2 linked regions of the Ovis aries genome follow. The protein of the gene in region 2 purifies or fractionates together with the protein of the main gene of each other region. This does not show direct contact. Links are inferred from orthologs where the notes say so. Each region holds a gene or a part of one and is shown on either strand. Other genes may lie near its edges.

The links.
Region 1: the proteins of BCAP31 (region 2) and CYB5A purify together in Homo sapiens (co-immunoprecipitation; 4 studies listed by BioGRID and IntAct, with this or other methods). This does not show direct contact. The link is inferred for Ovis aries from reciprocal best matches to the Homo sapiens genes BCAP31 and CYB5A.

The regions. Positions count from the first base shown.
Region 1 is NC_056076.1:4,328,785-4,339,838, reverse strand, and holds the start of CYB5A (cytochrome b5), read right to left. Parts: upstream 6,769-11,054; coding exon 6,640-6,768; intron 1-6,639.
Region 2 is NC_056080.1:80,542,299-80,553,320, reverse strand, and holds the start of BCAP31 (B-cell receptor-associated protein 31), read right to left. Parts: upstream 7,433-11,022; 5' UTR 7,218-7,432; exon of another isoform or gene 7,119-7,217; intron 6,918-7,118; exon of another isoform or gene 6,674-6,917; intron 6,569-6,673; 5' UTR 6,526-6,568; coding exon 6,434-6,525; intron 4,967-6,433; coding exon 4,866-4,966; intron 2,956-4,865; exon of another isoform or gene 2,853-2,955; intron 1,842-2,852; coding exon 1,694-1,841; intron 1-1,693. Other genes in the region: ABCD1 (ATP-binding cassette sub-family D member 1), read left to right, coding at 8,227-9,141. UniProt on the Homo sapiens protein: Functions as a chaperone protein. Is one of the most abundant endoplasmic reticulum (ER) proteins.

The sequences.
Region 1 (11,054 bases), on a different chromosome or scaffold from region 2:
AAACATGTAATGACTTGAACTGAAAGCAATATTACTGCCATCTATTAAGTCATATTTTCTTCTCCTATTCTACAGTACTGGTAAAACCTGGATAAATGCTATTGCCTCAGTTGCAGAAAGGGAAAAGTAAATCATTTCTCTCCCTGGCCCCAAAGTTCTATAATCATTAACCTCGCCAACAACACAATCAGAAATGACAAGACTCAACTTCACAAATATAAATTCAAAAACTAGAAATCAGAATTGAAAAAACACAAACCACCTTCTTCAAAATACATGGGCAACGAGGCTCATAATGTGGTAGCCAGTATCAGATAGTAACTAAACGCCTGCTGCTATTCAGATTGCCAGCAAACGCGAGCCAGTTCGCCCTCTCAGGCGTCTCCTCTTCTCTGGAAAACAAAACAGCTTTATAAGACTATTATTCCAGGAGATGGAGCTCAATGCACAACTTAGAAGCTTCACTGGTATTCTTGACCAGAGGGTATAACTTTCATAACACTCTCTTGTTTCAATTCAACATCACGTGCCAAATTTACACCTTCACCTACAATCTCACATTCTCACTCAGCTACATACGATGCTACAGAAGCCATGCCCACACATGACTTGTGCGGGTACAGGGGTTTGCATTTCCTGTGCAGACCACATGCTTGCGTCGTGCTGTTTGTTTAACCAGCATTATGTTTTTTAATTCTCATCTTAACCCTTAGAAGTTGGTACCATCGCGATCCTGCTGTTTTATGTTAAATAAGGCACATGAGGGACAGAGAGCGCAGGCACAGACTAGGACTCCCTTCCATGCATCGCAGTACGTACTTTCTCAACTTGAATGCACACGTGCACATAAAGCTATGATATATAAGGAGATCTAGCCCATAAAGCCTGAAAGTCCCCTTTAGAGGTAGGAAGGCAAAAAACAAACTTCCTTCATATTTGGGTAAATTAGGGAAAGCAAAATATTCTTTGATGTAGCTAAGTGGTAAAGAATCCACCTGCCAGCGCAGGAGACGCAAGAGTTGCAGTTTTAATCCCTGGATTGGGAAGATCCCCTGGAGGAGGAAATGGCAACCCACTCCAGTATTCCTGCCTGGACAATTCCATGGAGAGAAGAGCCTGGCGGGCTAAGGTCCATGGGGTTACAAAACAGTTGGACTGAGAGACTTAGCAACTGAACACACACACACAGAGAATATTCTCTAGTTAACATGCAAAACTTTAATGAATTTCTGGAGTTTTAAATGACAAAGAAAGGGAGCAGAGCAAGCAGGGAGAAACAGATCTTCCGGGCTCTTTGTTTCAGAAGGGATGGAATTAAACAGCACTGGAATAATAAAGTGATGGAACAGGAGGAGGAGGAAGAAGTGAAACACCAGCAGGGCACCCTGCAGGTTTCTGAATGAGATGTGTGTTTAAGATGCAGGAAGTCACGGGAATCTTAGGATGGCTGGGCTAGGGGGCAGGAAGCCAGAGACTATGACACGGCATTAATCAGAGATGGACACAGAAGGGAAAACAGTGATAACAGCAGATAGAACAGCTGGCCCCTCCAAAGTTCTGGGAAGGTCGGCACTGCCGATGATCAGCTCAACGGGCTGGCGAGCCTCTCTCCTCACCGCACGCCTTCACCCTTCTGAGAGGTCCCGCTGCACAGCCATTGGCCTGGTTCTTACCTTAACCCAGACCAGCTCTGGGAGCCCATCTGTTACCGCTGACATTAGGCCCTACTCACCAGAGCCCAAGCCTGACACCTCACACAGCCACCCTGGGTCACTCCCCATCACTGAACTAGACTCTGGCCGATAGAGCACAGCTTTCTGTGCTTAAATCCCTGCCCACTGCATTGTTTACTGTGTTATTGCTGCTTCCTCAAACGGAAGCTTTTGAGAATAGAAATGGTATCTCTTTCAAGTTCCACAGTCTCCACAATAAGAACTCAGCAGATTCTGGACCACTGATCAAAAGGAATGATGTTAGTACCAGAGGGTCGTGGTGTTCCAAACTCAAGTCAAGGTAGGCTTTTTTTTTTTTTTTAATGGAGGAAACTGCTTTTTGATGTTGTGTTGGTTTCTGCCATACAGAGACGTGAATCAGTCATAGGTATACATATGTCCCCCCACTCTCGAACCTCCCTACCACCTCCCACCTCATCCTCTAGGTTATCACAGAGCACAGGTTTGAGCTCCCTGTGTTAAAGAGCAAATGCCCACTGGCCATCTGTTTTATATATGGTGATGTGCATGTTTCAAAGCGGCTCTCTCAGCCTGTCCCACTCTTTCCCATTCCCAAGTGTCCACAAGTCCGTTGTCTGTGTCTCCGATTCTCCCCTGCAAACAGGTTCATCAATACCATTTTTCAAGATTCCATATATACATGTATCAGTTCAGTTCAGTGGCTCAGTCGCGTCCGACTCTTTGCGACCCCATGAATCGACTGCAGCACACCAGGCCTCCCTGTCCATCACCATCTCTCGGAGTTCACTCAAACTCACGTTCATCAAGTATATATGCATTAATATATCAATGTCTGTTTTTCTCTCTGACTTACTTTGCTCTGTATAATAGGCTCTAGGTTCATTCACCTCACTCAGTTCAGTTCAGTTCAGTCGCTCAGTCGTGTCCGACTCTTTGCGACCCCATGAATCTCAGCACGCCAGGCCTCCCTGTCCATCACCAACTCCCGGAGTTCACTCAGACTCTCGTCCATCAAGTCAGTGGTGCCATCCAGCCATCTCATCCTCTGTCGTCCCCTTCTCCTCCTGCCCCCAATCCCTCCCAGCATCAGAGTCTTTTCCAATGAGTCAACTCTTCGCATGAGGTGGCCAAAATACTGGAGTTTCAGCTTTAGCATCATTCCTTCCAAAGGAATCTCAGGGCTGATCTCCTTCAGAACGGACTGGTTGGATCTCCTTGCAGTCCAAGGGACTCTCAAGAGTCTTCTCCAAAACCACAGTTCAAAAGCATCAATTCTTTGGTGCTCAGCTTTCTTCACAGTCCAACTCTCACATCCATACATGACCACAGGAAAAACCATAGCCTTGACTAGATGGACCTTTGTTGACAAAGTAATGTCTCTGCTTTTTAACATGCTATCTAGGTTGGTCAAAACTTTTCTTCCAAGGAGTGTCTTTTAATTTCATGGCTGCAGTCACCATCTGCAGTGATTTTGGAGCCCAAAAAGATAAAGTCTGACACTGTTTCCACTGTTTCCCCATCTATTTCCCAAGAAGTGATGGGACCAGATGCCATGATCTTAGTTTTCTGAATGTTGAGCTTTAGGCCAACTTTTTCACTCTCCACTTTCACTTTCATCAAGAGGCTTTTAGCTCCTCTTCACTTTCTGCCATAAGGGTGGTATCATCTGCATATCTGAGGTTATTGATATTTCTCCCGGCAATCTGGATTCCAGCTTGTGCTTCTTCCAGTCCAGCGTTTCTCATGATGTACTCTGCATAGAAATTAAATAAGCAGGGTGACAATATACAGCCTTGACGTATTCCTTTTCCTATTTGGAACCAGTCTGTTGTTCCATGTCCAGTTCTAACTGTTGCTTCCTGACCTGCATACAGATTTCTCAAGAGGCAGGTTAGGTGGTCTGGTATTCCTATCTCTTTCAGAATTTTCCACAGTTGATTGTGATCCACACAGTCAAAGGCTTTGGCATAGTCAAGAAAGCAGAAATAGATGTTTTTCTGGAACTCTCTTGCTTTTTCCATGATCCAGCAGATGTTGGCAATTTGATCTCTGGTTCCTCTGCCTTTTCTAAAACCAGCTTGAACATCAGGGAGTTCATGGTTCATGTATTGCTAAAGCCTGGCTTGGAGAATTTTGAGCATTACTTTACTAGCGTGTGAGATGAGTACAATTGTGCAGTAGTTTGAGCATTCTTTGGCATTGCCTTTCTTTGGAATTGTAATGAAAACTGACCTTTTCCAGTCCTGTGGCCACTGCTGAGTTTTCCAAGTTTGCTGGCATATTGAGAGCAGCACTTTCACAGCATCATCTTTCAGGATTTGAAATAGCTCAACTGGAATTCCATCACCTCCACTAGCTTTGTTCGTAGTGATGCTTCCTAAGGTCCACTTGACTTCACATTCCAGGATGTCTGGCTCTAGGTGAGTGATCACACCATCGTGATTATCTTGGTCATGAAGATCTTTTTTGTACAGTTCTTCTGTGTACTGAACTGACTAAATTGTGTTACAGGTAGGTAATACGCTCTGAAGGAGCATTTACCAAGTAGCAATTAAGAAAGGTTGGTATACAGGAACTGCTATAAATTTGTTTTTATTTATCTCACTACAAACAGTAGTTTTGAGTTACCTAGCTACAAGTATTAGTTATCAAATATTAGTGATAAATGCAATTCATCACATTTTTTTCTTGAGAGATGTTCTCCCCAAGCTCCTTTTAAAGAGAGTCTTGAAAACTGACTAAGAAACAGAATTTGCTGTCAGCTAATTCACCCACTGAGAAGCTGGTCTGTAGCTCTTCTGGTTTTGTTTAGAAACTTTGTGCAATTCCTTTTCTGCCTCATAAGAATGATATAAAAGTAAATGGTTTATAGTACAGTTTAATAATCTCTTATCTTCTGAGAAATGTATCCATAAAAAAAGTCAGGCAAGATATACCTTAGGGCAGTGATTCTCGACTAGGAGTGACTTTGTTATCCCCAAGGGGACATTTGACAAGAGTTGGAGACATTTTTGGTTGTCTTGGGGAAGGGGGTGAGGGGGTGGGGATGATACTGACGTCTGGTAAGTGAGACAGTAATGAACACGACAGACTCTACAAAAAAGAAAAAATGGCAAACACTTCATTAAATAAAATATCCTGGTGGCTCAGACGGTAAAGAGTCTGCCTGCAGTTCAGGAGACCCAGGTTCAGTCCCTGTGTTGGGAAGATTCCCTGGAAAAGGAAATGGCATCCCACTCCAGTACTCTTGCCTGGAAAATTCCATAGATAGGGGAGCCTGGTGGGCTACAATCCATGGGGTCACAAAGAGTCGGACACAACTGAGCGACTTCACTTTCACTTTTTCACTTGATAAATACTATTTTTTTTCTAGACACCAATAAAGTGCATACACACTGGATTTTAAAATCCCACGATTATACATCCCCTGGGAATGGGGAAGGAACAGTTGTAAGTAGACATCTGGCATCCATTAGGCCTGATGTTACGATACAAGACTGTTAAGAAATTCTAATAGCAAATAAGCTCTGTTTCTCAGCAGAAGGGATAGGACAGATCTGACCCTCTGCTATAAACCACTCTTAACCACATCAAGACACTATTTTATCTTCTGGTACATCACCTGGTAACAATTTAACAGTAAAATATGTTACTAATAGACAACTTCAACCTTTAAAAAAATTAAGCATTCTCTGCCAAACAAATGTATTTTGATACAAATTGTGATCCAGCTCAGATCAAGCCTCTATCTTCATTTTTCTCACAAACTAAGTAAAGAATTCCCATCACTAAACATTCCCGTTTATTGTCTGGGGGAATGAAGGAGAGTGTTACATGTTGACGGAAAACAAACAAAATTCTGTAAAGCAATTATCCTTCAAGTAAAAATAAATTTAAGAAAAGAGGGAGGGGATGTATGTATACATATAGCTGATTCACTTGGTTGTACAGCAGAGACTAACACAACATTGAGCAATTATACTCCAGTAAAAAATTGTTTAAAAAAAATTTTTATGACTGAACCTCCCCCCAACACACCCACACAGTGACCAAACAGTCAGAGGTAGCAAACAAAAACCCCTTAGAATTTATTGCAAAAAAGTATAATCAATGCAAAGAATCAAGGCAAAGGATTGTTTTCCTGCAAGTTACCCAGCTACTTTACAATTCCCAAAGCTGCCTAAGGGTGAAGTCGCACTGGCTCTTTTCACTTGTCTGTTCACTGCCACTCGCCCCCCACCCCCACCCCCGACCCCTACCCCAGCCCCTCGCAGGAGTCCAATACTGCGCCTCATCCTTAAATATCACTGGGCGCCTTCTAGGTGAACAGCGGGTGACTGGGCGTGGATGGTGGAGTGGCACCGGCTCCAATTAGGAATCCACTCCAGGAATAAGAAGTCGCACGACCCTGGTCCTAGATGAAGACCTGGCCTATGCAAACTCAAGATAAAAAGGACCTTCAAAAGTCCTCCCGTAGTTGCGCCCTCAACTCCACGTGCGACTTTGCTCCCCACTAAGTGCGAAGCGGGGCTCTCCCACCTGCCCGCGCAGGTTCCCGGGAAGCGGCTCCCGCCCCAAGAGGGCGCGCCGCGGGCTGCGAGACTGGCTCACCTGGCCGCAGCACCTATGCACCTCCGGTCGCCCCCAGGTGTTCGCACACGGAGGTGCAGCCTCCGGTGACAACGCGGGCGCACAGACTCAGGGGTACAAACTCGGGGTCCGCTCCCAGGTGTGCACTCAGGCAGCGCACACACAGAGGGAGGCAGAGACACAGGCGTGCGGATGAGGGGAGTGCTCCCAGGTGTGCAGAGCCCGGTGCTCCCGCGCGGGTGAGCACACTCAGGTGTGCACGCGGAGTCGTGCGCAGATCAATCCCGCCACACAAGGGAAGTCTCGGCAGGGAGCCCCTCAAGCCCCGGTGGGCATCCTGCCTGCATCAACTCACCTCCTCCAAAAATTTGGTCAAATCGTACACTTTGTAGTGCAGGATCAGCCAGGTGCTCTTGCTGTGGTTGTGCTTCTGGATCTCTTCCAGGGTGTAGTACTTAACGGGTTTGCTGGACTCCTCGGCCATTTCTTAACGCAGCGAACTTAAGGCCCTAAAAGCAGCAGAAGAGCGGGACGGAGAAGAGCGGGCGTCTCTGCGAACTCGCCCTGGGACATTCCCAGCTGCCGGGCTCGGCTCCTGGGGAGGAATGTCCTCACGGAGGAGGGGAGTGGCCGAAGTACGGCCTCCGACGATTGGCCAGAATTCCTGTCGCTCAAGGGCCCCGCCCCCGCCCGACACTCTCCACCAACCCGGTGGGCCCCGCCCAGTGAGCGGGTGTTGATTGGCTGCAGAAGATGCCCTTCACAATCACAGCTTAGGAGAGCGCGGGGGGCGGGGTTTCCCCGCGTCTGCTCCGAAGGCGGTGGCGCCGGGGTCTGGGCGTCCGGGATCGCGTGGACCAGGCGGGGTGACCCGCGCAGAGTCCACCTTGTGCAGGGCAGCGACCCCACATCAAAATCGCCGCGGTTTCCCAATCCGGTCAGACCTGGGCGTTCGTTAATTTGTAACAGAGTCCTTCCGCAGCGAGTGTAGGGGCCTCAGACATGCAGAGCAACCTGGTGGACGTCGCCGGACGAGTGTGCTGCCCGGAGGACTGCTTGACCCATCCCCTCCCGTCCCAGAACTGCCCCATTCTCTCAGGAGAAAAACAAAACAAAACCCGGGAACTGTTCCAAAAAAGCAAAAGCGGCCTCAAGTGTAGGTTCTGAGGACGTCGGTGGCTCTGAAGTTACTCTGTCTTCACCCCTGACTAGGCGAGTACTTGTATTAGTGTCTTCTGTCTTTTCTCACCAGTATATTGTTTAAGGTAAATTCCAAATGATTGATAGCTCTTGGAACAGAGTCTGGAGCAGTACCTCCCCAGCTGAGCATCCATAGGAAGATTTACAAATGTTCTATTTTAAAAGGCGGGGGAGAGAATTCCAGCACGTAAAAAAAAAAAAAAAAAAATTAGTCTGATTTTTGCTAAGGCCTTTTTCAGCAATGGTATTTACTTCCAAAAAGAACGACACAATGGATTACACATGTAGGTCATCCTCCAGGAAACAGCACAGTTCTTTCCACTCGCTGCTGCTAGTGTTGGTTTCCTACCCCCTTGCTTACCTCCTCCGTAGGAATGCAAGGCCAAGAAGACAAGTTCCCAAACATTCCAAATACTCTTTATCCATTTCACATGATGGAATGCTTTGGTTTTCAAATACTGCACCAGCCTTGCATCTCTGGAATAAGCCCTACTTGCTTATGATATGTAATTCTTTTTTTTTTTTTCCAATGTGCTTTTTAAATTATAAAGGAGGCAGAAATATACAATGGAGAAAAGACAGTCTGTTTACAACTGGTGCTGGGAAAACTGGTCAACCACCTGTAAAAGAATGAAACTAGAACACTTCCTAACACCACACACAAAAATAAACTCAAAATGGATTAAAGATCTAAACGTAAGACCAGAAACTATAAAACTTAGAGGAAAACATAGGCAGAACACTCTCTGACATAAATCACAGCAATATCCTCTATGATCCACCTCCCAGAATAATGGAAATAAAAACAAAAATAAATAAATGGAACTTAATTAAACTTACAAGCTTTTGCACAACAAAGGAAACTACAAGCAAGGTGAAAAGGCAGCCTTCAGAATGGGAGAAAATAATAGCAAAGCAACTGACAATTAATCTCCAAAATATACAAGCAACACATGCAGCTCAATACCGGAAAAATAAATGACCCAATCAAAAATTGGGCCAAAGAACTAAACAGACATTTCTCCAAAGAAGACATACAGATGGCTAACAAACACATGAAAAGATGCTCAACATCATTCGTTATCAGAGTAATGCAAATCAAAACCACAATGAGGTACCATCTCACGCTAGTCAGAATGACTGCCATCAAAGAGTCTACAAACAATAAATGCTGGAGAGGGTGTGGAGAAAAGGGGACCCTCTTACACTGTTGGTGGGAATGCAAACTAGTACAGCCATTATGAAGAACAGTGTGGAGATTCCTTAAATAAAAAAAACAATAGAACTGCCATATGACCCAGCAGTACCACTGCTAGGCATACACATCAAGGAAACCAGAATTGAAAGAGACATATGTACCCCAGTGTTCACTGCAGCACTTTACAATAGCTAGGACACAGAAGCAACCTAGGTGTCCATTGGCAGACAAATGGATAAGGAAGTTGTGGTACATATACATAATGGAATATTACTCATCTATTAAAAAAGAATGCATTTGAGTCAGGTCTAATGAGGTGGATGAAACTGGAGCCTTATTATACAGAGTGAAGTAAGTCAGAAAGAGAAACAGCAATACAGTATATTAACACATATATATGGAATTTAGAAAGACAGTAATAATGACCCTATATGCAAGACAGCAAGAGAGACACAGATGTAAAGAACAGACTTTTGGACTATGCAGGAGAAGGCAAAGGTGGGACGATAAGAGAGAATGGTATTGAGACATGTATATTACCGTATGTAAAATAGATGACCAGTACAAATTCAACGCATGGTGCAGGGCACCCAAATCCGGTGCTCTGGGACAACCCAGACGGATGGGGTGGGGAGGGATGTGGAGGAGGGTTCAGGATGGTGGAACACATGGACACCCAGGGTTGATTCATGTCGATGTATGGCAAAACCCACCATATATTGTAAGTAATTAGCCTCCAATTAAAATAAATAATTTAAAATAATAAATTTTTAAAAAGTATAGTTAATTTACAATGTTGTTGGTTTACTGATTTGTTTTAAAGAGCTCACTTCTGGCCTCTGATTTTCTCCACTGTTTTTCTTTTTTTGGTCACTAATTTCTGCTCCTTATTGAGTCTTTCCTTCTGCTTGCTTTGGGTTTCTTTTTTTTCCTAGTTTCTTGAGGTGGGAGTTTAGATTATTGAATTGGGATTTTTCTTCTTTTCAAATACATGCATTTAGTGTTATAATTGTCCAAATGTTTTAAAAACAGTAAATCAGGTTATGTATACCAGTACCCTAACAGTTCCCAGGTCTGCTGAATCTCCGCATGACTCTGGCAGAGCAGTGTGTCAGTGACGACTGCCTCTATAATCCAATGTCAAGACTGTTTCAGATTTCAGTGCCAGTTCTGAATAACTCCAGAAGTGGTTAAAACAAAACTTTGGTGCCCGTGACCTGGATCCTATTCCTGGTTTAGTAACCTATCAGATGCATGACTATGACCTAATCAGTTAACTCTCTAAGCCATTGCTTATAAAATGTTTAGCCAGGGTCTGGCACAAAAAGAGCAATCAACAGATTTTAGCAAATGCTATTATCAAACAAGACTTCCTTACTTTAAAACACTGGTATAAGGAAACATCCTACATGGCAAGTGCTCCAAGGTGAAGCGTGTGCCAAGTCACTTCAGTCGTGTCCAACTCTGTGCGACCCCATGGACTGCAATCCCCAGCTCCTCTGTTCATAGGATTCTCCAGGCAAGAACTGGAGTGGGATATCATTTCCATCTCCACCAAGGTGAAGTAAATTTAGGCAAACTTAGAAACAAATCTAAGAAATTAAAAGGAATTCAGATATTTACAAACTTCCTGATGTTCCCTCCAGCAAAGAAATTTTAATAAACATTTAGAAAACCAACTCTACTCCTGAAGTTCCTCAGGTGAAATATACTGTAGAAAGCACTCACTCTTCTACTAAAAAGCCAAAATAAGCAAACATCATTACGTTTTTTATTCCTTTTCTAATTCCTCCTGCCACTCATGCACAAGACACACTTCAGCAGCTCTTTACTTCCCATTGACAAATCATTATATTTGCTATAACCATAGAAACCAGGCTCCCTTGACAAATGGGCACTCTACAAAGATGGACTCCAACTCAAATTATCTACATGGATAATTTGCATTAAACCCGTGTCTTTTAAATACGTTCAATTCAGTCACTCAGTTGACTCAGTGTCTGACTCTTTTTGACCCCATGAATCGCAGCACGCCAGGCCTCCCCGTCCATCACCATCTCCCGGAGTTCACTCAGACTCACGTCCATCAAGTCAGTGATGCCATCCAGCCATCTCATCCTCTGTCGTCCCCTTCTCCTCCTGCCCTCAATCCCTCCCAGCATCACAGTCTTTTCCAATGAGTCAGCTCTTGGCATGAGGTGGCCAAAGTACTGGAGCTTCAGCTTCAGCATCATTCCCTCCAAAGAAATCCCAGGGTTGATCTCCTTCAGAATGGACTGGTTGGGTCTCCTTGCAGTCCAAGGGACTCTCAAGAGTCTTCTCCAACACCACAGTTTAAAAGCATCAATTCTTCGGTGCCTAGCTTTCTTCAC
Region 2 (11,022 bases):
CTACCCTGCAATTCCTCAAGGACTGGCGATTCCAGCTGCAAATGAACTCCAGAGCCTCTGGACATCATTTCATTAGCGAAAGCGGAAACTAAATCAGAGAAGCTGGGCACTCCAGTATCGCCTTGCCCATCTGGGATTTCAGTTCTCTCATCCCAGTGCTTCCTTTGCCCTGACCCCCTATCCACCACTTCCTTACTTTACACAGAAACACCGAGGGGACTGTCTTTTTCCCAGGCCTCACAGTGCTCCCAATCCAGTGCTTTTGCCTTCTCAATACTATTCTTTTTTTTTCCTCTTACCAGACTGTGGCAGGTTTAATAGCGGCCTCAAAGGTATGCCCAAGTTGTAACCTCCAGAACCTACAAAGAGGACCTCATTTGGAAAAACAATCTTTGTACATGTGATTGTGGATTTTGAGATGAGCTCAATCTGGATTAAGGTGGGCCCTTGTTTGTGCTCAGATGCTCAGCTGTGTCGACTTTGCAACCCCATGGGCTGCCAGGCTCCTCCGTCCATAGACTTTTCCAGGCAACAATACTGGAGTGGGTTGCCATTTCCTACTCCCATCAATACTATTCTTAAGGCTCCCTATCCTCTTCCAGTCCAAGCCTTAGGTTTCTTTCTGTCCTTCCTAACTTCCAGATGAAATCCTCCCCAAAAGCCTCTGTGGTCCTTCAGACACAGCCAGTTCTCTTTTCCTACCCTCTGGCTCACTTGCGGTTAGACTCAGTCCCCCGGATCTGCTTCCCTTTCAGTTTCAGTCCACAAGATCATACTTCTTTTTTGGAGCTTCCTGAAACCCTAAAACCCTGGGCTCTGTGTCCAACTCCTCCCAGCACTCTCAGTTCCTGACTCTCGGAAGGTAGAACACGGCAGGCCTGCACATCACTCCTGGGATTAGATGTATCCCCCTGAAAAGCCCTTGCCAGCTCCACCTCTTGTCACTTTCCAACTCTGACCCAGAGACACCAGGCTCAGCTGAGCAACTGACTTTTTTTGTGTGCAAAAGGGAAACCAAGACAGTCATTCCAATGCCTAGTGAAGAAGGAGGTCCAGGTGATTAGAATTAAGACAGCCCAGCCCAAGAATCCACAAACTCACCTTACTTCTGAGTAACCTCACAGTAAGTTTTCCCCAATACTCCTGGAAACCCTTGTCCCGAGCACAATGTCTTATTCCCTGCCAGGTAAGCACACTTGAGAATAGCCAAACCCTCACTCCATCAGAACCCCTGTGAACAGGAGGTAGCATGCCAGCCCTCAGGTTCCAATAGGTCTCACGCTCGTGTGATAGGTCTACACCAGGGAAGGCCCTGGGGACACGGTTGGTCTCAGTCCCATTTTGTGCCCTTTCTGCTCAGGACTGGACCCCATACACAAAAAGGCCCCATTCAGTTGTTCCCTTTTAAAGCTGGGCTCCAAAGGGCCTCTCCAGAGGAGGGAAAACACCCGTCACTTACTTCACTCTGTGTACAGAGAGCAAGGTGACAGTAGCACACATGCCCTAAAAGAACATGTGGCAGGCTATGGCAGAGCCACAGCGTGGTCTTCTGACCTTCCCGTCAGCCCTCTCCCATCTTCAATGCTGCCTCTGGAGAAACTGTGTGGTTCCCCGAACGTAGAAAGGGCCTCCAATTCAAGGCCACAGACTAGCCCATAGGTCCCTTCACACTCCCTCGCCCCTCCCCACTCACAAGGACAGCAGCAAGGAAAAGCCAGCAATGTAGAGGTTCCTCTGGGCACGGAAAAGCTTCATGTGGAAGTGCTCCACAGCCCCAGGGTTGTTCTGGAGGTTCACCTTCTCTGTCACATCATCATACTTTCGAATCTCACGAACAGCATCTGTGGCAGAGCAGAGATACAGGTGTTCAGCCCCGGATCAGTCCAGCTGAGATGCAAGGCGTGAGTCTGGGCAGCCTCGCTTTCCTCAAAACTATCTCCCCTGCTCTTCCCCTTCTACACACATCTTGATGGATGCCTTATCAGAAGTGCTGCCCTCCGACCTGTTCTCTCCTCCAGCTTTTCTCATGTCACCCTCTAGACCCATTCTACCCAGACCACAAGCTTGCTCTCCGTGTCAAGAAGCTCACCGAATCTGAGATGTCGCTGGCAACCAGGGCAACTCCCTTTGCCACGGTGCCCCCACTGTTTGGTTCTGTTTATCACAAACGGGGCTGGCCATCAGCCACCCAACTGATAAGCCAGGCGAGTCCTGTTTATGGAAATGCCCACAAGGGAAGCATGAGCTGCCTAGGAGTCAAGACCTGGAGGATGCCTGCTAAAGATTCAAAGGTTTTCATTTCTAAGTGTCTAAGCTTTATAACTGGTTACTTAAACTGGTGTATTCTGCTTACAAAAAAAAAATTCATGCTCATCAATGTTCAATGTAGGAGAAAGAAGCCCATAACATAATCAATCACCTCCAGTAGAACCTACTTCATGTGGCCAGCTTAAATAAAGCAATCATTTCCAGTCCCATTAATCAATGTCATACACACACCTAAAATTAATGTTCATGTCCCCCAAATTAGACTACAGCGCCACAAGAACAGAAACCTTTCCTATTACATCCTTAAGGCCTAACAGAGTTCTAAGCTGTTACAGGGGGAGCACAAACACCTGAACAGTGAACAACCTCTGCTCTAAAAAACCATTACTGGCCACTCATATATATATATATATATATATATACTCACATCTGTGTGTTTACAGGCTAGAAATGGAACGATCCCATACCTACTACTTTTCTCCCTCAACCCTGCTATCTCTTTTTTCTCAATTGAAGTACACTGATTTGTAACATTATATAAGTCCATTACTTCTATTTCTGTATCCCCTACAACGTGCTTTAAAAAAAATATGGAATGCTTCATGAGTTTGTTTGCCATCCTTATGCAGGGGACATGCTAATCATCTGTCTCATTTCAATTTTAGGATATGTGCTGCTGAAATGAACATCTGAGACATCTTTTTAAATCATTATGTAAAGATCTACCTAAAGAGTGCTCTTAATGGATCCCCATGGGAGAGGGGCAATGTAAGGCTACTATCTGGTTCTTAATTTCTGGTATGAGACTGCTTGTTTTTTAGGCTGATTTTACATCATAAAAACACACCTCCACTTACTGGTATCTTTGTGTTACATCCGTGGGCTTCCCAAGTGGCTCAACAGTAAGGAATCTGCCTGCCAATGCAGGAGACACAGGAAATGTATGTTCGATTCCTGGGTTGCAAAGATCCTCTGGAGGAGGAAATGGCAACCCACTCCAGTATTCTTGCCTGGAAAATCCCATGGACAGAGGAGCCTGGCACACTACAGTCCACAGGGTCGCAAAGAGTCAAACCGAACTGAGTGACTCAGCATACACACATGTGGGTTCCTGACCCCCAAAATTCCCATTTGGGCACCTTAACTCTCAACCAGATGATACTAGGAAGTAGGGCCTTTGGAAGATGAGCACAAAGCCCTCATGAGTGGGTTTAGTGCCGTTATAAAATAGACTCCAGAGGGCTCCCTTGTCCCTTCCTCCATGTGAGGACACGGCCAACACAGAAAATGACTGTGGAAACATAACACAGACTGTTAAAATAGTTACCTGTGAGACATGGGTTTATGGGAACCTTTAACTTTGTAAGTTAAATTCACAAATTTCTAAAGCTGTGCTATTTTTGTGATTTAAACAAAAAACATGTTTTCCCACACTGTCTTCTGCAGCCAGAGACCCCAGCACCTCAAGGTCCACCTTGACTAATGGCAAAGAGCCAACCAGGGATCGGGGCATTGGGCCAAACTAGCTCAAGTCATACAGCAGAGGGCTACCCTCTCTATCTCAGGCCTCCAGCCCACGGCAGTTGACCCTGAACTCTCATTAAGCCCACTCCCCCAGTGAGATGTGCCCTAGATCCCTTCCCAGGGATGGCTAGGGGCCAGCCAGGGCTGCAGCTTCTAGCTAGTTATGCTATGTCGCTAGCATTTGCTACTAGCTAACAACTTACTCTGACTCATTGGAAAAGACACTGATGCTGGGAGGGACTGGGGGCAGGAGGAGAAGGGGATGACAGAGGATGAGATGGCTGGATGGCATCACCGACTCAATGGACATGAGTTTGAGTAAACTCCGGGAGTTGGTGATGGACAGGGAGGCCTGGTGTGCTGCGATTCATGTCGCAAAGAGTCGGACACGACTGAGTGACTGAACTGAACAACTTATTTAGGCAGACCTCTACAGATTACATTAGGATACGAAGCAGCCTTTTATCATAGCAGGATGTCGCTCTAGAACATCCAGGCAGTTCCCTGACTCCTCAAAAAGAAAAACGGCACTTTTGCCAACTACCACCTTCTGCAAAGGGCCTCTCCCACCCAATCTGCCATACCAGGAGAATTCGTGGAATCTGGTGTGCAGAAGGGCAAAGCTCTAAGTGAACACCCCCCAGCATGGTCCCTCCCCACCCCAACTCTTACCCCCAGCCCACACCTAAAAGCAAAAGCACACACACCCAGTTCATAAACCCTGCAGCCTACTGAGACCAAGGTCAGGACAGGTCCATTAGCCTCTCTTGGTTTCAGCTCTGGAAGGACCCAAGGAGCTGCCTGAGACACAAGATGGTCAGCACCAGGGGCATAAAGGCTGCTGGTCAAAGCAAAGACCCTGCCAGCAGTCAGTAGCAGGGATGCTGACGTCTTTGTGGATGAAGGGAGCTTTTCTTCCCCCAAGAGAAAGACAGGCGCACTAAATGGTCTGTCTCTGAGAAGTCAAAGCTGTACTCTAATCATGGAACATGGCACATGGCACAGGGCTTTGTAGCAGAGGCCATGGCAAAAGGTCTAAGTCAGATAGCTACCATCAGCCACAACTCACTCACCAATGACCAGTAGCACAAGGATGACAATGAGAACCACAAAGAAGGTGTTGCCATATGTCACTACCAACTCCACAAGGCGGGACTTGAAAATCTTCTGCCATCTGTGAAAAAGACAAAAAGGCTAAGGTCAGTAGAGTAAGAACACACACCTGGGATCCAGGGCCCTGAAAACAGATACAGTTTTGCACTCTTCTTCAAAGACTGAATATCTCATACAGATTCAGCCTCAGCTGCTTGCAATTTTCCAACTTATGACATCTGTTCAACAGTGTTAAAAAGAAAAAAAAAAAGACACCTGTCCAAGTATAGAAATTTCTAGAAAAAGTCTTAAACACTGGTAGGCTCTGGGGAGAGAAATGCGAAACTTAGCGTCCCCTCTGTAGTATCAAAATGCTTGCCAAATCCACATTATTTCTTTAAACTGTTTTCCCATGTGCCCAATCTTGGCTCATCTAGACTCCCACCACCCCCGATTACCATGAAGCAGACCCCAGACCTCCCTACCTTTCCCTCCATAAATACTTCAGCATACAGCTCCGTCAAAGAAGACCCTTCAGAAATGGCTACCAATCGCAATGCCACCGTCAAGCCTCAAAAATATCAAGAAAAATCTCTCATCATCAGAGCCAGAACTCCAAAGTCCAACTGAGGCAATTATTTTTAACAATTGGTCTGTTTGAATCCTGACAAGGTTCTGATTTTGCATTCTGTTAATAAGTACCTTCAGTTCAGTCGCTCAGTCGTGTCCGACTCTTTGCGACCCCATGAATCACAGCACACCAGGCCTTATTCTACGAACTCCCCCCTCCCTTGCTCTCTGATTTCTCCCCTAATTCACTGTTGCAGAAACCAGGCTGTTTGTCCTGCAAAGCTTTCCATGTAGCAGCTCCAAGTGGGCCACTGTCTCTGCATTTCCTGTGAACTGTATGAGGTGATTCAGATCTAGCTTTTGTAAAGAACATTCCTTAAGCAGTGCTGTACACTTTCTATCACAACAGCAGCCTGTGATTTTTCATTAAAAAGAAGCTTCTATGAAAACATCTGTAAGTCTTATTTGTAATGTTCTAACTTAAGATCAGATGTGTTCCTATAGTATATGTAATCAAGATGAATTTCAAAATAACTTTTCAGAAGTCCTCTGTTCACTGAAAAGAAACATGGCTTCGGCCTTCCTAGGCTGAGTAATGCTCATGAGGCCACTTCGCAACCCCAGCGAGACTGGTTAGGAGGACAGAAGTCACCAAATCAACGGTAACATGACCCAGAGGCAAGTCTTGCAGATCTCACAATGCCATCTCCTAAACACCCGGAGGGCATCGTTTCCAGAATGGTCACTTGGTCTTGTCCCCTCTGGCACACTCTGAAGACCAGAAGACAGGGTGCAGGGGAAAGGACCTAGTCAAGATGTGACTGAGCACAACTGTGGGCCTAGCTGGCGATAATAAACACAGTCCTTGCCACCCCCATCCCAGACAGGTTCTACCTGTTTCCGGCTGGCTTCAACTCTAAGGCCCCCCAACTCTGCAGGCACAAGCTACCGAGACTCTTCCTGGCTTGCCTGCCCATACCTTTTGGGAGAAATGAAGGGAATGCAGAGCAGCAGCACAGCGAAGACCTCTGCATAGAGGAAGGTGGCGACTGCGGTCCACTGCAGACTCATCGTGTTGCTAGCAGCTTTCCACCGGGATGATGTGAGCCTGTTCCTGATGGAGCACAGAACAAACAGGCGTCGTGACAGCTCGGCAGCCACCAGCCCTAGACCTCAGAGCATTCCCAGCCCTCGAGCCCCGCAGCCTGGCTGCCAATACCTCCAGAGACACTTTTCCAAACAATTCCTCCCCGTGGAGTCCGGGAGACTCCGCCTGCGGAACCCTGGCAGCAGTGGGTGGGAATCGGCAGTTCAAGCTACCGCCCACCACACCGCAGCCTCGGTCCTAGTAATGCCTTTGCGCTTCCTCCCAACCTGCGATGCCTCTGGGCCCTTCCACCCGGGCCGACAGAGGAGTAGCGAGCAGCTCCTCCCAGGGCAGGAGCGGAACGCAAAAGCCTCCCAACCACCGCCCCTTCGGCTCAGCTTTCAGTATCTCCGAGAGCCCCCGAGAGCGACTCCTAGAGGACGAGAGTTGGAGCCAAGGGCAAGAGCGGGTCTCAACCCAGCACCTCACGGCCCCGTCCAGAGAAAGTTCTAGAAGACTGTCTCCTCCAAAGCCGGAGAAACCCCTCCCGGCCTCCCAGGTCGGTCGCGGCGCCTACCCGGCTCCAGAAGACCCCTCGACGAGGCCCCGACCCGGCACGCCCTCTCAAGCCCCACCCCGCCGGCTCCTCCGGAGGGACTTCGACGTCGCCCCCTACCCTGGAGATGGCTCCACCCGCCGCCAGCCTGACTTCCCTCCGCCCGGTCCCGCCCCCGCACTCTAGCCTCGGCCCTGGCCCCGCGCACCGGGCCTCCCCGCGCCCCCTCGTCGAGGAGCCGGGGGACCTCGGCGGCCCGGAAGCCCAGCGCGGCGCGCGAGTCCGCTCACCGAGTTCTCCAGAGTCACCACGCACGCCCAGTCGTCGCCAAACTCTCCCACCACCAGCCCGGCCCCGCCCCTTCCCCGCGGCCGGAACCGGAAGCGCCCGGCCAGTCCCGGCCCGCCCCCAACCGCCACAAGGCCCCGGAGGCCCCGCCCCCGAACCGAGGCTCCCGACGTCTGGGACTGGGGAAGGAGCCACGCCTCGCGCGCGCGCGCGGAGAGACGGGTCCCCGGCCTTGGCGGGAAGGCGAGGTGCCGCTTCTCTAGCCCGCGCGGTCCTCCGGCGTCTCTGTGGTCCGGGGAGGGGGCGGGGCCCCACCGTGGGGCGAGAACGGGGTGGGGCGGCCCGTGCCTGGGCTCCGCCTCCCGCCCCTCCTCCGCCTCCTCCCCCTCCCCCGACTCGCCCCTGGGGAGGGGTGGGTGGGTAGGTGGGGATTCTGGGCGGGTGGCGGAGTCACAGTCGCTTCAGCCGGGCTGTGGAGCGGACGGACGCGGCCGGTATCCCAGGGAGGGGCGCTACCAGGGGAGGAGGAGTAGGAGGTGGAGAGAAAAAGACGCCCTCGGCCGGAGACCTCTAGAGGCTCTGACCCCAAGGGCCAAGGGACTGACAAGTTCCTCCACTTCGGCCGCCTGAAGAGGCCGTGACCCTGGAGGGCCCTGAGCCCACCCGCGCCAGGGGCCCCAGCGCCACCCGGGTGGCCTAAAGCGACAGTCTCAGGGACCACTGCGAGGTCTCCAGTTGCCTAGACAACGAGCCCGGGGTCAGAGCCACCACCCTTGCAGCCACCTGCCTCCTCTGCCGCCTCAGGCACCCGTCCCGGTCCCGTGAGTCCAGCCCAGGTGACATGACGGTGCTCTCTACCCCCAGAGCCTCGCGGGTGACCACGCTGAAGCGTACTGCCGTGGTCCTGGCCCTCATGGCCTATGGAGCCCACAAACTCTACCCTCTGGTGCGCCAGTGCCTGGCTCCGGCCAGGGGCCCTCAAGCGCCGGCGGTGGATGGGGAGCCCGCACCAGACGTCTCCGGTGCCCCCGTGGCCTCAGCGGCCAAGGCCGGTGTCAACCAGGTGTTCTTGCAGCGGCTCCTATGGCTCCTGCGGCTGCTATTCCCCAGGATCCTGTGCCGGGAGACGGGGCTGCTGGCGCTGCACTCGGCCGCCCTGGTGAGCCGGACTTTCCTGTCGGTGTACGTAGCCCGCCTGGACGGCCGGCTGGCCCGCTGCATCGTGCGCAAGGACCCTCAGGCCTTCAGCTGGCAGCTCGTGCAGTGGCTGCTCATCGCACTGCCTGCCACCTTCATCAACAGTGCCATCCGCTACCTGGAGGGCCAGTTGGCCCTGGCATTCCGCAGCCGGCTGGTGGCCCATGCCTACAGTCTCTACTTCTCCCAGCAGACCTACTACCGGGTCAGCAACATGGACGGGCGGCTTCGCAACCCAGACCAGTCCCTGACGGAGGACGTGGTGGCCTTCGCTGCCTCCGTGGCCCACCTCTACTCCAACCTGACCAAGCCGCTCCTGGACGTGGCTGTGACCACCTACACCCTGGTTCGAGCAGCCCGCTCCCGCGGGGCTGGCACAGCCTGGCCCTCGGCCATCGCTGGCCTCGTGGTCTTCCTCACGGCCAATGTGCTGCGAGCCTTCTCGCCCAAGTTCGGGGAGCTGGTGGCTGAGGAGGCGCGGCGCAAGGGAGAGCTGCGCTACATGCACTCCCGAGTGGTGGCCAACTCAGAGGAGATTGCCTTCTACGGGGGCCATGAGGTGGGGCTGCTCCTGGGGCCGGAAAGCGCGTGGCTGGGGGAGTCCGGGGCAGGAAGGCCTGGGGCTGCCTATGGCTGATGGCACAGGTGTGGGCTGGCCATGGGAGAGGGAGGCTGTGGACGACCAGGGCCGTGGGCAGCCCGGATCGGCACAGAAATGGAGAAGCAGGAAGGCTGGGTGGAGACTGTCCTGGGTCACTTCTGCTTCCTCTCCACCTCCCTTGTCCTGGCCTTAGGGCTGTGGACCCTAGTGATGGGAGACCCAAGAGCTCCCAGCCTGCCCCCTGCCTGCAGCCAACAGAGAAGGGGCTCCTGCCATCTGGGGGCAGGGATGACAGGATGCAGCCTGCTGTCTGGCCCCCTCCTATTCCCCCAGGCCCTTTGAAGCCCGGCGTCCGGCCGGGCAAGTGGGCATTATGGGCATGACTCAGCCCAAGCGGAGGTTAACAAGCAGCAGTGCTCGGTGTGTCGATCGGATCTCAGCGCTCCAGATCAAGCTTCTCCCCCCTCCGGAGCCCAAAGGCTGGCCTGGCTGCGGGCTTGGCTGCCTCCCCGAGGCCCCAGCCAGGGGTGCCGGGGCCCAAGCCGCCACTGCAGCAGGACGCACTTCCTGCCCTCCCAGCGGCCACCTTGCCCCCAGTGTGGCCGCCCTTCCGCCCAGGTCCCAGCCGTGCAGCTCCCCAGCAGGCTGGGTCAGCGGCCAGCCGGCTAGGGCCAGGAGCCGGGGCCTGGGAGAGGTTACTCCAGGCCAGTGCTCCGGCCCCTCCCCTCCTCCTGCCTGGGTTGCAGCTGCCTCCGGCTAGGTTCTCTGCGACTCTGGTTTCGGTTCCCCAGTGCTTCTGGGGGAGGGGTACAATGGCATCCAGCTCCTGAAGGCCCATGGATCCTCCCTAGGTCAGATGGCCTTGTGTCCTCGACCTTGTCTCATTGGCAGCCCATCTTATCAGGCAGGGAGGCAGGCTTGTCCCTGATTTTTTTTTTTTTTTAAGACTTATCCCTGAGCAGATAGGGGCATTCCCGGCTGGGCTCCAGATAAGGAGAAAAAGGGCCGGATCTGCAGCCGCAACCCCCGTCCTCCTCCCCTGTGCTCCAGGGACGCAGGGTCTTGGCAGGCAGCCGTGGCCCTGGGTGAGGCACTTGGCACATTCCCCGCAGCTACATTGTCAGCCCCAGCTGGCACTCTTGCCAGCTCCCAGCACGAGCCTGGATCGCCAGGGCGCTCAGAGTAGACGTGCTCACTTCAGGAACGGCAGAGCGATGCCCAAGACCTAGCTGGGGACAGGGGAGGTGGGAAGAAGGGAGAATCACTAGCTCTTTGAAGGATTTCCTCTGGGTTAGTTTCAGGAAATAGCATGTACTTGGGGCAGATTCACCAGCTGGGGTGGGAGGGGCCTGATGTACGTCCCCAACCTGTCTGTCAAGGCCTCGGGCAAAGGGCTGTGTGATGTGATGGGCCTTCATGGGTGGCTTGATTGCCCTCACTGTGCGGGCACGTGGCTCAGCCCAGTCCCATTGGCTGATGTCCCCATGGACACTGGCCCAGGCTCAGATCAGCAGGCTGGGGCAGAGGTAGCTGGCTGACTGGAGGGCAGACCGCCGAGTATTTTGCTATTCCTGGGATGTCAAGGAGAAGGGTTATTGCTGCTGCTGCTGCTGCTAAGTCACTTCAGTTGTATTCGACTCTGTGCGATCCCATAGATGGCAGCCTACCAGGCTCCTCTGTCCCTGGGATTCTCCAGGCAAGAATACTGGAGTGGGTTGCCATTTCCTTCTCCAGTGCATGAAAGTGAAAAGTGAAATGAAGTTACTCAGTCGTGTCCAACTCTTGGCGACCCCATGGACTGTAGGTAGGCTCCTCAATCCATGGGATTTTCCAGGCAGG